3 linked regions of the Macaca mulatta genome follow. The main gene of each other region encodes a partner of the protein of the gene in region 3 in a complex. Links are inferred from orthologs where the notes say so. Each region holds a gene or a part of one and is shown on either strand. Other genes may lie near its edges.

Evidence for each region.
Region 1: SF3A3 (region 3) and SF3B3 share a complex: the UniProt entries of both Homo sapiens proteins name them as parts of the 17S U2 SnRNP complex. The link is inferred for Macaca mulatta from reciprocal best matches to the Homo sapiens genes SF3A3 and SF3B3.
Region 2: SF3A3 (region 3) and SF3B4 share a complex: the UniProt entries of both Homo sapiens proteins name them as parts of the 17S U2 SnRNP complex. The link is inferred for Macaca mulatta from reciprocal best matches to the Homo sapiens genes SF3A3 and SF3B4.

What each region holds. Positions count from the first base shown.
Region 1 is NC_133425.1:69,307,665-69,311,313, forward strand, and holds part of SF3B3 (splicing factor 3B subunit 3), read right to left. Parts: intron 2,291-3,649; coding exon 2,125-2,290; intron 1-2,124. UniProt on the Homo sapiens protein: Component of the 17S U2 SnRNP complex of the spliceosome, a large ribonucleoprotein complex that removes introns from transcribed pre-mRNAs.
Region 2 is NC_133406.1:117,227,224-117,230,972, reverse strand, and holds the start of SF3B4 (splicing factor 3B subunit 4), read right to left. Parts: upstream 2,406-3,749; 5' UTR 2,354-2,405; coding exon 2,320-2,353; intron 1,888-2,319; coding exon 1,759-1,887; intron 1,521-1,758; coding exon 978-1,520; intron 649-977; coding exon 442-648; intron 1-441. Other genes in the region: MTMR11 (myotubularin-related protein 11), read right to left, coding at 3,733-3,749. UniProt on the Homo sapiens protein: Component of the 17S U2 SnRNP complex of the spliceosome, a large ribonucleoprotein complex that removes introns from transcribed pre-mRNAs.
Region 3 is NC_133406.1:202,805,001-202,808,690, reverse strand, and holds the start of SF3A3 (splicing factor 3A subunit 3), read right to left. Parts: upstream 2,808-3,690; 5' UTR 2,751-2,807; coding exon 2,655-2,750; intron 2,352-2,654; coding exon 2,304-2,351; intron 634-2,303; coding exon 581-633; intron 479-580; coding exon 373-478; intron 1-372. UniProt on the Homo sapiens protein: Component of the 17S U2 SnRNP complex of the spliceosome, a large ribonucleoprotein complex that removes introns from transcribed pre-mRNAs.

The sequences.
Region 1 (3,649 bases), on a different chromosome or scaffold from region 3:
TGGGTTCACGCCATTCTCCTGCCTCAGCCTCCCAAGTAGCTGGGACTATAGGCGCCTGCCACCACGCCTGGCTAATTGTTTTGTATTTTTAGTAGACAGGGTTTCACCACATTAGCCAGGATGGTCTCGATCTCCTGACCTTGTGATCCGCCCGCCTCGGCCTCGCAAAGTGCTGGGATTACAGGCATGAGCCACCATGCCCGGTCTTTTTTTTTTTTTTTTTCTTTGAGACGGAGTTGTTGCCCAGGCTGAGTACAATGGCGCGATCTCGGCTCACCGCAACCTCCACCTCCTGAGTTCAAGTGATTCTCTTGCCTCAGCCTCCCAAGTAGCTGGGATTACAGGCATGTGCCACCACACCTGGCTAATTTTGGTTTTTTTGTTGTTGTTGTTGTTGTTGTTTTTAGTACAGGAAGGGTTTCTCCATGTTGGTCAGGCTGGTCTCAAACTCCCAACCTCAGGTGACCTGCCCACCTCGGCCTCCCAAAGTGCTGGGATTATAAGCATGGGCCACCATGCCTGGCTAATTTTATTCTTGATGAATAAACTATTTACACACATTATTTATTCAAATTGCAATGAAGGTGGAAAAATCACTAATAATCAAATTAGAAATTAGTCACACTTGGCCGGGCGTGGTGGCTCACGCCTATAATCCCAGCACTTTGGGAGGCCAAGGCAGGCAGATCACGAGGTCAGGAGATCACAGTGAAACCCCGCCTCTACTAAAAATACAAAAAATTAGCTGGGCGTGGTGGCAGGCGCTAGCAGTTCCTGCTACTAGGGAGGCTGAGGCAGGAGAATGGCATGAACTTGGGAGGCGGAGCTTGCAGTGAACTGAGATCACGCCACTGCACTCCAGCCTCCTGGCTGGAGTCGAGACTCCGTCTCCAAAAGAAAAAAGATCGAGACTCCGTCTCCAAAAAAAAAAAAAAAAAAGAAAGAAAAGAAGTTAGTCACACTTATTTTCTGTTGTCCTCAAGACTAATCATTTCGGCCGGGCGCGGTGGCTCAAGCCTGTAATCCCAGCACTTTGGGAGGCCGAGGCGGGCGGATCACAAGGTCAGGAGATCGAGACCACAGTGAAACCCCGTCTCTACTAAAAATACAAAAAATTAGCCGGGCGCGGTGGCGGGCGCCTGTAGTCCCAGCTACTCAGGAGGCTGAGGCAGGAGAATGGCGGGAACCCGGGAGGCGGAGCTTGCAGTGAGCCGAGATCGCGCCATTGCACTCCAGCCTGGGCAACAGCGTGAGACTCCGTCTCAAAAAAAAAAAAAAAAAAAAAGACTAATCATTTCTCAGAAAGGAAGAACAAAGCAATTAATTTCAGATGGGTGTAATTAAACCTGTCTGAATGCTGATTTGTTTCCCCAGTACCCAGTGAACAAGCTCCTCTCCCATCAGAAGTGTGATTAACTACACAGGTGGTCCCTAATGGTCACTCAAACCCTGGCAATTGAGGATGCAACAGCATGATCAAATTCCTGGCTGTCACAACTGAGCACCAACAATGAGAGACACAATCTTCATTCTGTGCCACTGCAGGTTCCTCCTTGAGGTGGTGATTCAAAACTTTCTGTTACCAACTGATCCCAATGTCTCAGAACTATTTTAAAGAGGAACCGTGGTAAAATGAAGTAAATACAGCTATATGTAGACTTATATGACAAGAGGTCAACCACAGAATACTGTGGAGTATATGACTCCACTTATTTTAAAAAGAAAAAGACAGAACACATAAACATATACATGATTCTAAATGCAGATAAAACACCTGGAAGCAGTTACAAGAAGTTGTTAACATAAGCAATATGGTTCAATGGAGCGGACGGGTGAGAAGATTATAGGGAGGACTTTTACTTTTCACTTTTTACATGGTCTGATTTTTTTCCTCCCCAGCAAGCAGTACAGGAATATGATCTGAATTTTTACATTAAACATGAGTTTCATCATTATGGGAAAAAAAGCCCAAGGACTTATTAACGGTTTTTTATGCTCACGCTTCTACCTCTAACTGCTTTACACACTGGCGAGTTCAAGGAAATACTAATAAAGCTATTTCTTAGACTAGATCTCAGTTTAACTTTAGATTGATTGTGGAAGGGACTGGAAAGACCCACCAACCTGGCAAAACAGAATGGGAGAGAGGCTGTCCAACTCATCAACCAGCACAAGGTTTTTAAGTGGTCTTGGCTGAAAAAAGAATGTGTCTCCTTCTTCCAGAGGCATGGCTGATGAAAACTCAGGTTCTTCATCATCATCTCCAAGATGTGCAATTTGATATAAGTAACTGGGAAGAAGCAGAGAAGAGAAACTTTCGGTAACGAGTTCTCTGCCTGACGATAATGTCTGACATCAATATAAAGCACAAGCTATTTGATTATATTAAGATACTACTGTTATTATTTTTAGGTGTTAACATTAAGTAAGATAGCTAGGATTTGTTTCAAAACAATTCAGGGAGAAGATCTGGGAAGTGCAGTGAGTGTTTTATTTACAGCACAAGCAACAAAGAAAACACAGATAAACTGGACTTTATCAAAATTTAAAACTTTCATGCATCAAAGGAAGAAAGTAAGATGACAACCCACCAAATGAGAGAAAATATTTGCAATTCATATTTCTAACAAGGGTCTAGTACCCAGAACACATAGAGAACTCAAATACAAGAAGACAACTCTTAAAAAATGGGCAACGGGATTTGAATAGACATTTCTCCAACAAAGATACACAAATGGCCAATAAACACAAAAAGATGCTCAACATCAGCCGGGCACGGTGGCTTGCGCCTGTAATTCCAGCACTTTGGGAGGCCGAGGCAGGACGAGGTCAGGAGATCGAGACCATCCTGGCGAACATGGTGAAACCCCCTCTCTACTAAAAATACAAAAAAAATCAGCCGGGCAAGGTGGCAAGCGCCTGTAGTCCCAGCTTCTCGGGAGGCTGAGGCAGGAGAATGGCGTGAACCCGGGAGGCGACAGAGCTTGCAGTGAGTGGAGATCGCACCACTGCACTCCAGCCTGGAAGACAGAGCAAGACTCCGTCTCAAAAAAAAAAAAATAGATGCTCAACATCACTCATCCCGGGGGAAAGGCAAAGCTACCACTTCATACCACCACTGCATACCTAGCAGGATGGCTATAATCACAAATGTGGAAAACAAGTCAGCAAGGATGTGGAGAAACTGCAGCCCTCATATACTGCTGTTGGGAATGTAAAACGGATGTAGCTGCTTTGAGAAAGTTTGGTGGTTTCTCAAAAAGTTAAACACGGAATTACCATGACCCAGTAATTCCACTCCTACATATACACTCAAAAAAATTAAAAATGGGGACTCAAATAGGTATTAGCACAGCAACATCTACCACAGCATTACTCCCAATTGTGAAAGGTGGACACAATCCAAGTGTACATCAGCAGTAGAATGGATAAACAAAATACAGTATGTACAAACAATGAGTAATTCTGCCATAAAAAGGAATGAGTTCTGACACAGGCTACCAAAACATGAATCTCCTTCTTTTTTTTTTTTTGAACATGAATCTTCTAAATATTATGCCAAGTAAAATGAGCTAGATACAAAGGGACAAATATCAGCCAGGCACTGTGGCTCAAGTCTGTAATCCCAGCACACTGGGAGACTGAGGCA
Region 2 (3,749 bases), about 86 Mb from region 3:
AGTAGACAAGAGTCTATCATGGTAGCTGAGATTAAGGAGTCAGAGGGGTGGAGGATCTAGAAAAGCAAAAGCAAAAAGAGACGAGAATTTCAAACAGGAGGACACGACTAGTTTCAAGTACATCAGAGGTCAAACTAGATAAGGAGGAGAAGTGTCCCTGAGATTTGGCAATTAGGTCACCACTTTGAGCTGGAGTCAGAGAAGAGAATGGAACTAAAGGTTAAAGAAATAAAAACCAGCAAGTATAGTCTTCTTGTCAGAAAAACTTAAGAAATGGATACAGGGAGGTGGATGTTAGAGAGTATTTTGTATGTTTTTATAATAGAATGTCTGAAGGAAAGGAAACTCTGAAACTGTTACTGTTGAGGAACAAAGGGCAGCAGGGTGAGAGGTAACAGAGATGCTCTACCAAGCTCTTCCCTCCCAACAAAGCACACCTACCTGGATGGGGCATCCCACCTGGTGGGAATGGGTGAGGATGTGAGTGTCCATGACCAGGATGTCCTGCCCCTGGGGTTCCTGCCGATGGGGGGCCATGTCCTGCAGCTCCAGGAGGCATAGGTGGTGGGGGCATGGCTGGGGGTATCCCAGGTGGGAGGGCTCCAGGAGGTGGCACTGGGGGTGGGAAGGAGCCAGGAGGAGGCATGCCTATAGAGGAAATGGAAAAAGGAAAAGTTAATGGTAGTGAGGAGAAAATGTCTTTAAAGAGCCTGTCCTGATCTGGCCTCTCTGGGCAGGGTGAGCTCTTTCCCCCTCCTCCCAGTGCTCTAAAATCAAAAGCAATGTTAGAAAAGTCAACCAACTTCACCCTCCTAAAGAAACCCAACAACTTTCTTCTCCACCACTACCATCACCCCTCAGTCCTCTTCCCATCACTCACTGACTCCATGTCCCATCCCCCTTTCAGGCTCTTTTTTTCTTCCTCCTGACTCTCTCCCCCAACCTTAAGACAAACAAATTTTAACCAAAAGCTTTACCTGGTGGAGGAAGCCCAGACCCCAATGATGATACCACAGGATTGGGGGCAGAGGGTGGAGGAGGTGCATCTGCAAACAGCTGATGAGGGCGGTCAGCCTGGGAGAGCGGGTTCTGAGCTGCCAGAAGTCGTTCGGCTGCTGAGCCATGGCGCTCACCCTTGGAGTCCTTCTTGAAGGCATAAGATACGGTGATAGGGCGGTTACAGAGGTACTGCCCATTCATGGCTTCAATTGCTGCATCCGAAGCATCAAATGAAGCAAAATTAATAAAGGCATAACCTTTGGAGTTGCCTGTGTCAGGGTCCCGCATAATCTTGGGGGTTTGTAAGATGACCCCAAAAGCGCTGAAAGTATCATAAAGCAACTTCTCATCAATCTCAGGGTCCAGGTTCCCAATGAAAATGTTGGCCCCTACATCCAGGTTTTTGTTGTGGGCTGATGCTTTGTTCACCCGTATTGGCTTCCCATAGAGTTTGATCATGTTCATGATCTTAATGGCATAGTCAGCATCTTCCTCACTCAAGAATTCCACAAAGCCATAGCCTGGAGAAGTGGAGAAGAGGAGGTTAACAACATAAGAGATTGAAAATGGGGTAAAACTCATCTACCCTCTAATCACAAAGAACAAGAAAGAAACAATCTCACTTAAGAATGGTTCCAGAAATAAACTGAACAGAGGCTTAAAAGAAAGAAATACTTTAGGTTGCTCATGTTATTCCAAAACAGTTGTGAATACTGCCGGGACCCTCCGGAAGCAAATTGCCCCTTGTCATGTACTCACCTTGGTGCTGGCCAGTGACTCTATCCTTTGGCATGTGGGTGTTGACTACTGGTCCAGCCTGGAGAAACAGTTCCCACAGCAGTGGTTCACTAACCTTCTCATCCAGGCCCCCCACGTACACAGTGGCATCTGAAGGGAGGGAGCAGAAAGTTAGAGCAAGGGTGAGAGTATAACATGAAAGAAGGAGGTGATGGAAACATGAAGATGGAACCCAACCGGGGGAACTGGGGACGCGGGTAGGGGACAGGAGCAAAAAAAAAAAGTTAAACCCTTAAACTTCTCTCTCCAGGACTTCAGGAATCCTCTGAAGTCTAATTTAGTATTCTGAGTGGATTTTTTTGTTTTTTTGAGTGAGAACTCAGCAGGGGATTGGACGTAAGTATCACACCCACAGGCCTCAGCCAGCACCTGGCCACCCCGCCCCCAGGAGGCACGGGGCCGGTCTCGCGCCCTCTGGGGAATGGATGAGTCCAGTCTCCCACCCCTGCAGAGGCACTTCTGGCTGTAGTAGGGGCCTCCTAGCCACGCTGAGCCCATTCCAGACTTTCCCCCTCCAGTTACCCTGGTTCCGCTCGGAGATCGGCCCGGCAGCCATGGCGAAAGAGCTCCCGCCGTCTCCCAGCAGCGGTTCCGCCTTCTGACCTCAGCACGACTTCCACTTCCGGGGCGAAGGAGGACGTAGCGCTGGGCGGAGCCGCGGAAGAGGAGGGGCCTGGAAGCGGCTGCAGCCATTTTAGGAGCCTCCAAGACTTAACTCGGGTTGGGCGGTGGAGTCCTCGGCACCCGCGCAGAGGTGCTGCTGCTAGTGGTCTTAGCGAGGAGGGCGGAACGGAAACGCTCAGACCGTCTTAATGCACTGCTAGACTTGAAAGAATCACACTGCTCCCAAAAATGTAAATTCGAAAGCTAAAAGAACAAAAACTTCAGTTTTCATGTATTTTGTAGCCAGTGATGATGTTTTGTTGTCCAGAGAAGGATGTGCTGAAGAGTCCCCCCAACCCGAGGACTTGGCTGCTTTCAGGCGCAGAGGGAACCCTCCATCTCGCCTGCAACCTTCTTGCAGATTTGGCCTCAACAGCCCTGATTTGGGCTGGAGGTATTTGGTTTTCCCTCGGGGAGGAGACTGCGAAATGTCTGAGCTGGAGTGACGTCTGCGCTCATCTCGTCGTAATTGCATGGGGAGGGTGAGGGCTGCTCCAAGGTGGTGTGTGACCACAGGTGAGGGGTGGATAGGATCGGAGCTCAGAGACTTCAGTCTGGATCTCTAGAACAATCTGGCCCCATCTGCCTCTAAATGGGAGACACACACAGAATCCTTTCCCCAAACTGCACTTGAATTCTGCAGAGTCTCACCAAATCCAGTTCCCCTATTTCCTTAGCAATAATACAGTAGATGCCTTCCTCTCTTGGATCATACCCACCTTTTACCCACCACTTTCCTACCTAGGAGAATCCTTTATTCAAACACAAGAAACAATGCCAGTAATGTGTATAAATACTATGCTTTAATGAGCCCCTTAAATAGAAAATTCCGCTACAAAAATACAGAGGAGACAGGGTGTTTCCTGTATCCGCCTCATTCCCATAGAAAACTATAAGGGAAGAAATAGAAGTTGGAATTAAAGCAGCAGCAAGGCGAGGTGAGAATGCGATCTGTAGGCCATCTTGTTGGGACTGATGAACAGCATCTCTGATCTCACGATTTAACATCTGGTTATCCAGAAGGGATGGAACTGGTCTAAAAAAACCGATCAATTTCTGGATTGTTTTTGTTTCTTAATCCTTCAAATGACAAGAAACAAAAATATCCGTAGGAACTAAGCAAGACAGGACAAGAGTTGGAGCAGTTAACACCACCATCTGCAGCAGAAACTCAGACCTTCTTAGTGAACTTAAGGGCTGGAGTGTGAAAGCTGAGGCTGCAAGTCCAGAAACAAAAAAAAAAAAAAAAAAAGGATTAGACAGAACCGTCCTCTACCCCAGATCCCCCT
Region 3 (3,690 bases):
CCCAAGTAGCTGGGATTATAGGCGCATGCCACCATGCCTGGCTAATTTTTGCATTTTTAGTAGAGATGGGGTTTCACTATGTTCGTCAGGCTGGTCTCGAACTCCTGACCTCAGGTGATCCGCCGACCTCAGCCTCCCACAGTGCTGGGATTACAGGTGTGAGCCACCGCACCCGGCCAGCCTTGGCTTCAAAGCTGAGGGAGATGCTGAAAACACTGCAGTTGTAGGATGTCAGCTAACTATGGTCCTTGCACCTAAATGGCAAGTTCTTTCTTGAAGTGCATTTGAATAGCACATGTCCAGTTTCCTTTATACCTTTCCTTTATATGCTTTAAAGATAGGTCTGGAGAAAATACTTTTCGGAGGACATACCTCATTTGGGTGCTTCCGGTGGAATTCCTTTATTTGCTTGAGTCTATTATAGAATTCAGCAAACTCATTGGGTCCTGAAATAGCATTGAGCTCCTCCTTTCGTAATCTGCAATTTCAGGAAAATTTCAAAGATAGAGCACAAAGTCAGTCCTCTAACCATGGCTCCTCAGAAGCACTAACTCCTAGATTAGCTGTGACTGTCACTTACCCATCCTTATCATCATACAAATCCCTCAGGTTCCCACTGACCTCCATATACCTCTGAAAGGCAAATACAAAACCATCAGAATGAGGCAATTTGCACAAATGTAGAGCTAAGCAAACAACAAGGGCTCTCCAGTCAAAGCCCAGGGCAATCTCAAGAGATACGGACATGGTCTTAACAGTTCTGTGCTTCCTAGTACCTTTAATAGCCCTGTTTCCTGGTTAGTTTTTCAATAGCCCTTTAACAGCCCTGATTCCTGGTTAGTTTTTTAAGCAGGTCGATTGGAAGATTACCTAAATGATAACATTTAAGGGGTGGCTCCTATTTTTACATACCACCGATGCCTAACTTTCCCTGTAACAGACTCACCCTCTTTGGCTAAACACTAGCTCCCACCTAACATCCTCAAAGATAAAGATGATATTCACTATTTCAAAAAGCTTGACTGAGGAGTAGACAGGCTAAATAAACATTACATAGGCTTCCTTTGTAGTCAAAATATACTAATTCGGGATGGTACAGGTACATAGTCCCCTCCTCCAAAACTTTTGGGCCCAGATTTGTTTCAGAATTTGGAATTTTTAAGTTCAGAAAAGGTATCACATATTATGTAACAGCCCTAGTGGAATCTGGAGCACACAGTTCTGCAGTAAACCTTATACCTTATTTACTAAGTGGGGTAAATTAAAGACCATAAAAAGCCTATCACAGGTTCAGGCCAGTAAACCTGTCAAGTGAGAGCAGGTCAGATTTTGACACCAAATAATCACCCAAGGGGAAAAAAATAAAATCCTTGGTTTTCAGAGTATTTTGGGGCTGAGGGCTTGTAATCTGATCATCTCCTGAAAATCAGAAGGTCCAAGTAAGTCTTTTATTCCTTTTTAAACAGGTTTCAAACGTACCCAAGAGTAAGGAACGTAGTAAAATGAACCTCCATTTACTCATCACCTTGTTTAAAAATTTAAATAGCATCTTGTTTTTCTTTTAAGTAATAAATTGAACTACTACCAGACAAATGCAGTTTAGTAGTCCAAAATGCTTTAAAGCAGTATCCTGGGAGAAAAACACTAATATACGGTATACATACATACATATATATATATATATATTTTTTTTTTTTTTTTTTAAGGCAAGGATTGTAGCTGTGCACCTGAGTCATGGACTCCTCATAACTATTGTTTGCACATCCAAGGGATACAGGATGCTGTAAGAACGGACACGTGTAAGCCAGGCGCAGTGGCTCAAGCCTGTAATCCCAGCACTTTGGGAGGCCGAGGTAGGTGGATCACGAGGTCAGAAGTTCGAGACCAGTCTGACCAAAATGTTGAAACTCCGTCTCTACTAAAAATACAAAAATTAGTTGGTGGCGAGCGCCTGTAATCCCAACTACTCCGGAAGCTGAGGCAGGAGAATCGCTTGAACCCGGGAGTCGGAGGTTGCAGGGAGCCGAGACCGCGCCTGGGCAACAGAGCGAGACTCCGTCTCAAAAGAAAAAAAAAAGGGGGGCACCTTTCCGATTAACGAAGAATGCGTAAGAGTTCCCCATTCAGAGAACTGAGGAAGCACCCTTACATCCGGCAGCCTGTGGACATCTGTCCAGGCAGAGAGCTCGCGACTGGCCAATCCGGTTACCTTTAGCCAGTGCTCATACTGAGACCCCGCACTTCACTTCCCCTCTCTTTTCCCGCCCTCGCCAACCCAGAGTGACAGACAGCTGGGCACTCACATCTTGCATGGCCCGAGTGCGGTGATCAGAATTGATCTGGTCCCGGAGCTGAAAAAGCAAACGGTGACACAAACGCCGTTAGCTTGCGTTCTGGAATAGAAAAGGCCGCCCGAGGGCGGAGCTTACCCGCTCAGGTTTTATCCGCTCAGGTTTTAGCAGCTGAGGAAGAAAGGCCTCTGGGGCTCTGGACCCCGGGAGGAGGTTACCAAGACCGGAGCTCGGAGAGGGAGCCCCGGAGGAGGCAGGAGGCGGAGTGCGGGGAGGCGCTGAGGGCCAAAGCAAGCTCTCAGAGGTCAAACACGGGATTGAGGCCCATGCCCCTGCCGCAGCCCCTGCTCAGACCCCACTCACCGTGGACTTCTTAGTGAGCATCTCTTTAGCCATGACGTCCATGAGCCGTTCCTTCTCCTCATGATAGCGCCGCTGCTGCTCCAGTATTGTCTCCATCTTCCCTTAGCCGCAGCCTCCCAATTCAGACCACCTACACGGCCGGAAGCAACTCCTGCCGCCCGGCGCGCCTGAGTCCCCACGTTGCGCATCCAGCTGCATCAAAGTTCCGCGAGTGCCGGAAGTGCCCGGGGACTTAGGAAAACATGAGCACCACAAGGAAGGCCAGTCTATGTTATGGAGATGGCAACAGTGCCACCTGCTGGTCGGAGGTGTGGTGGAGCGATGCCGAGAGGTTTGCAGATACCTCCAGGGGGCATAGGAAAACCCAAGAGCCCGAGGTTCAGCGGACCGCTTCCTGGGGCTTGCTGGGGCCGGCTGGTCGGGCAGGTACACTGTGGGGACTGCGCGAGCAGTTGGAGTGCAGCTGGGAGATGGGAAACCGGAACTTGAGGACGCAGCTTTCAGCGTAAATTATGAGAACATTTTCTGCTTCTCTGGACTTCAGCACCTTTCTTAGTAAAATGGGAATAGTGGGGTTTTGCTGGTGGTGTTTTTAAAGAAATTCACATGTGAGGCTGGGCGCGGTAGCTCACGCCTGTAATCCAGCACTTTGGGAAGCGGAGGCGGGCGGATCACTTGAGGTCAGGGGTTCGAGACCAGCCTGGCCAACATGGTGAAACCCCGTCTTTACTAAAAACAAACAAACAAAAATTAGCCGGGCGTGGTGGCACACACCTGTAGTCTCAGCTACTCCGGAGGCTGAGGCAGGAGAATCTCTTGAACCTGGGAAGCAGAGATTGCAGTGAGCTGAGATCGTGCCACTGCACTCCAGCCTGGGCAACAGAATGAGACTCAGTCTCAAAAAAAAAAAAAAAAAAAAAAAAAAGGAAGAAAGAAATTCACGTGTAGAAACGACTTGTCTATCGGCAGGGAATATGTTAAATAAAATACTGTGCATCCAACGGGCCAACGAGGTCAGATCAAGACCATCCTGTCT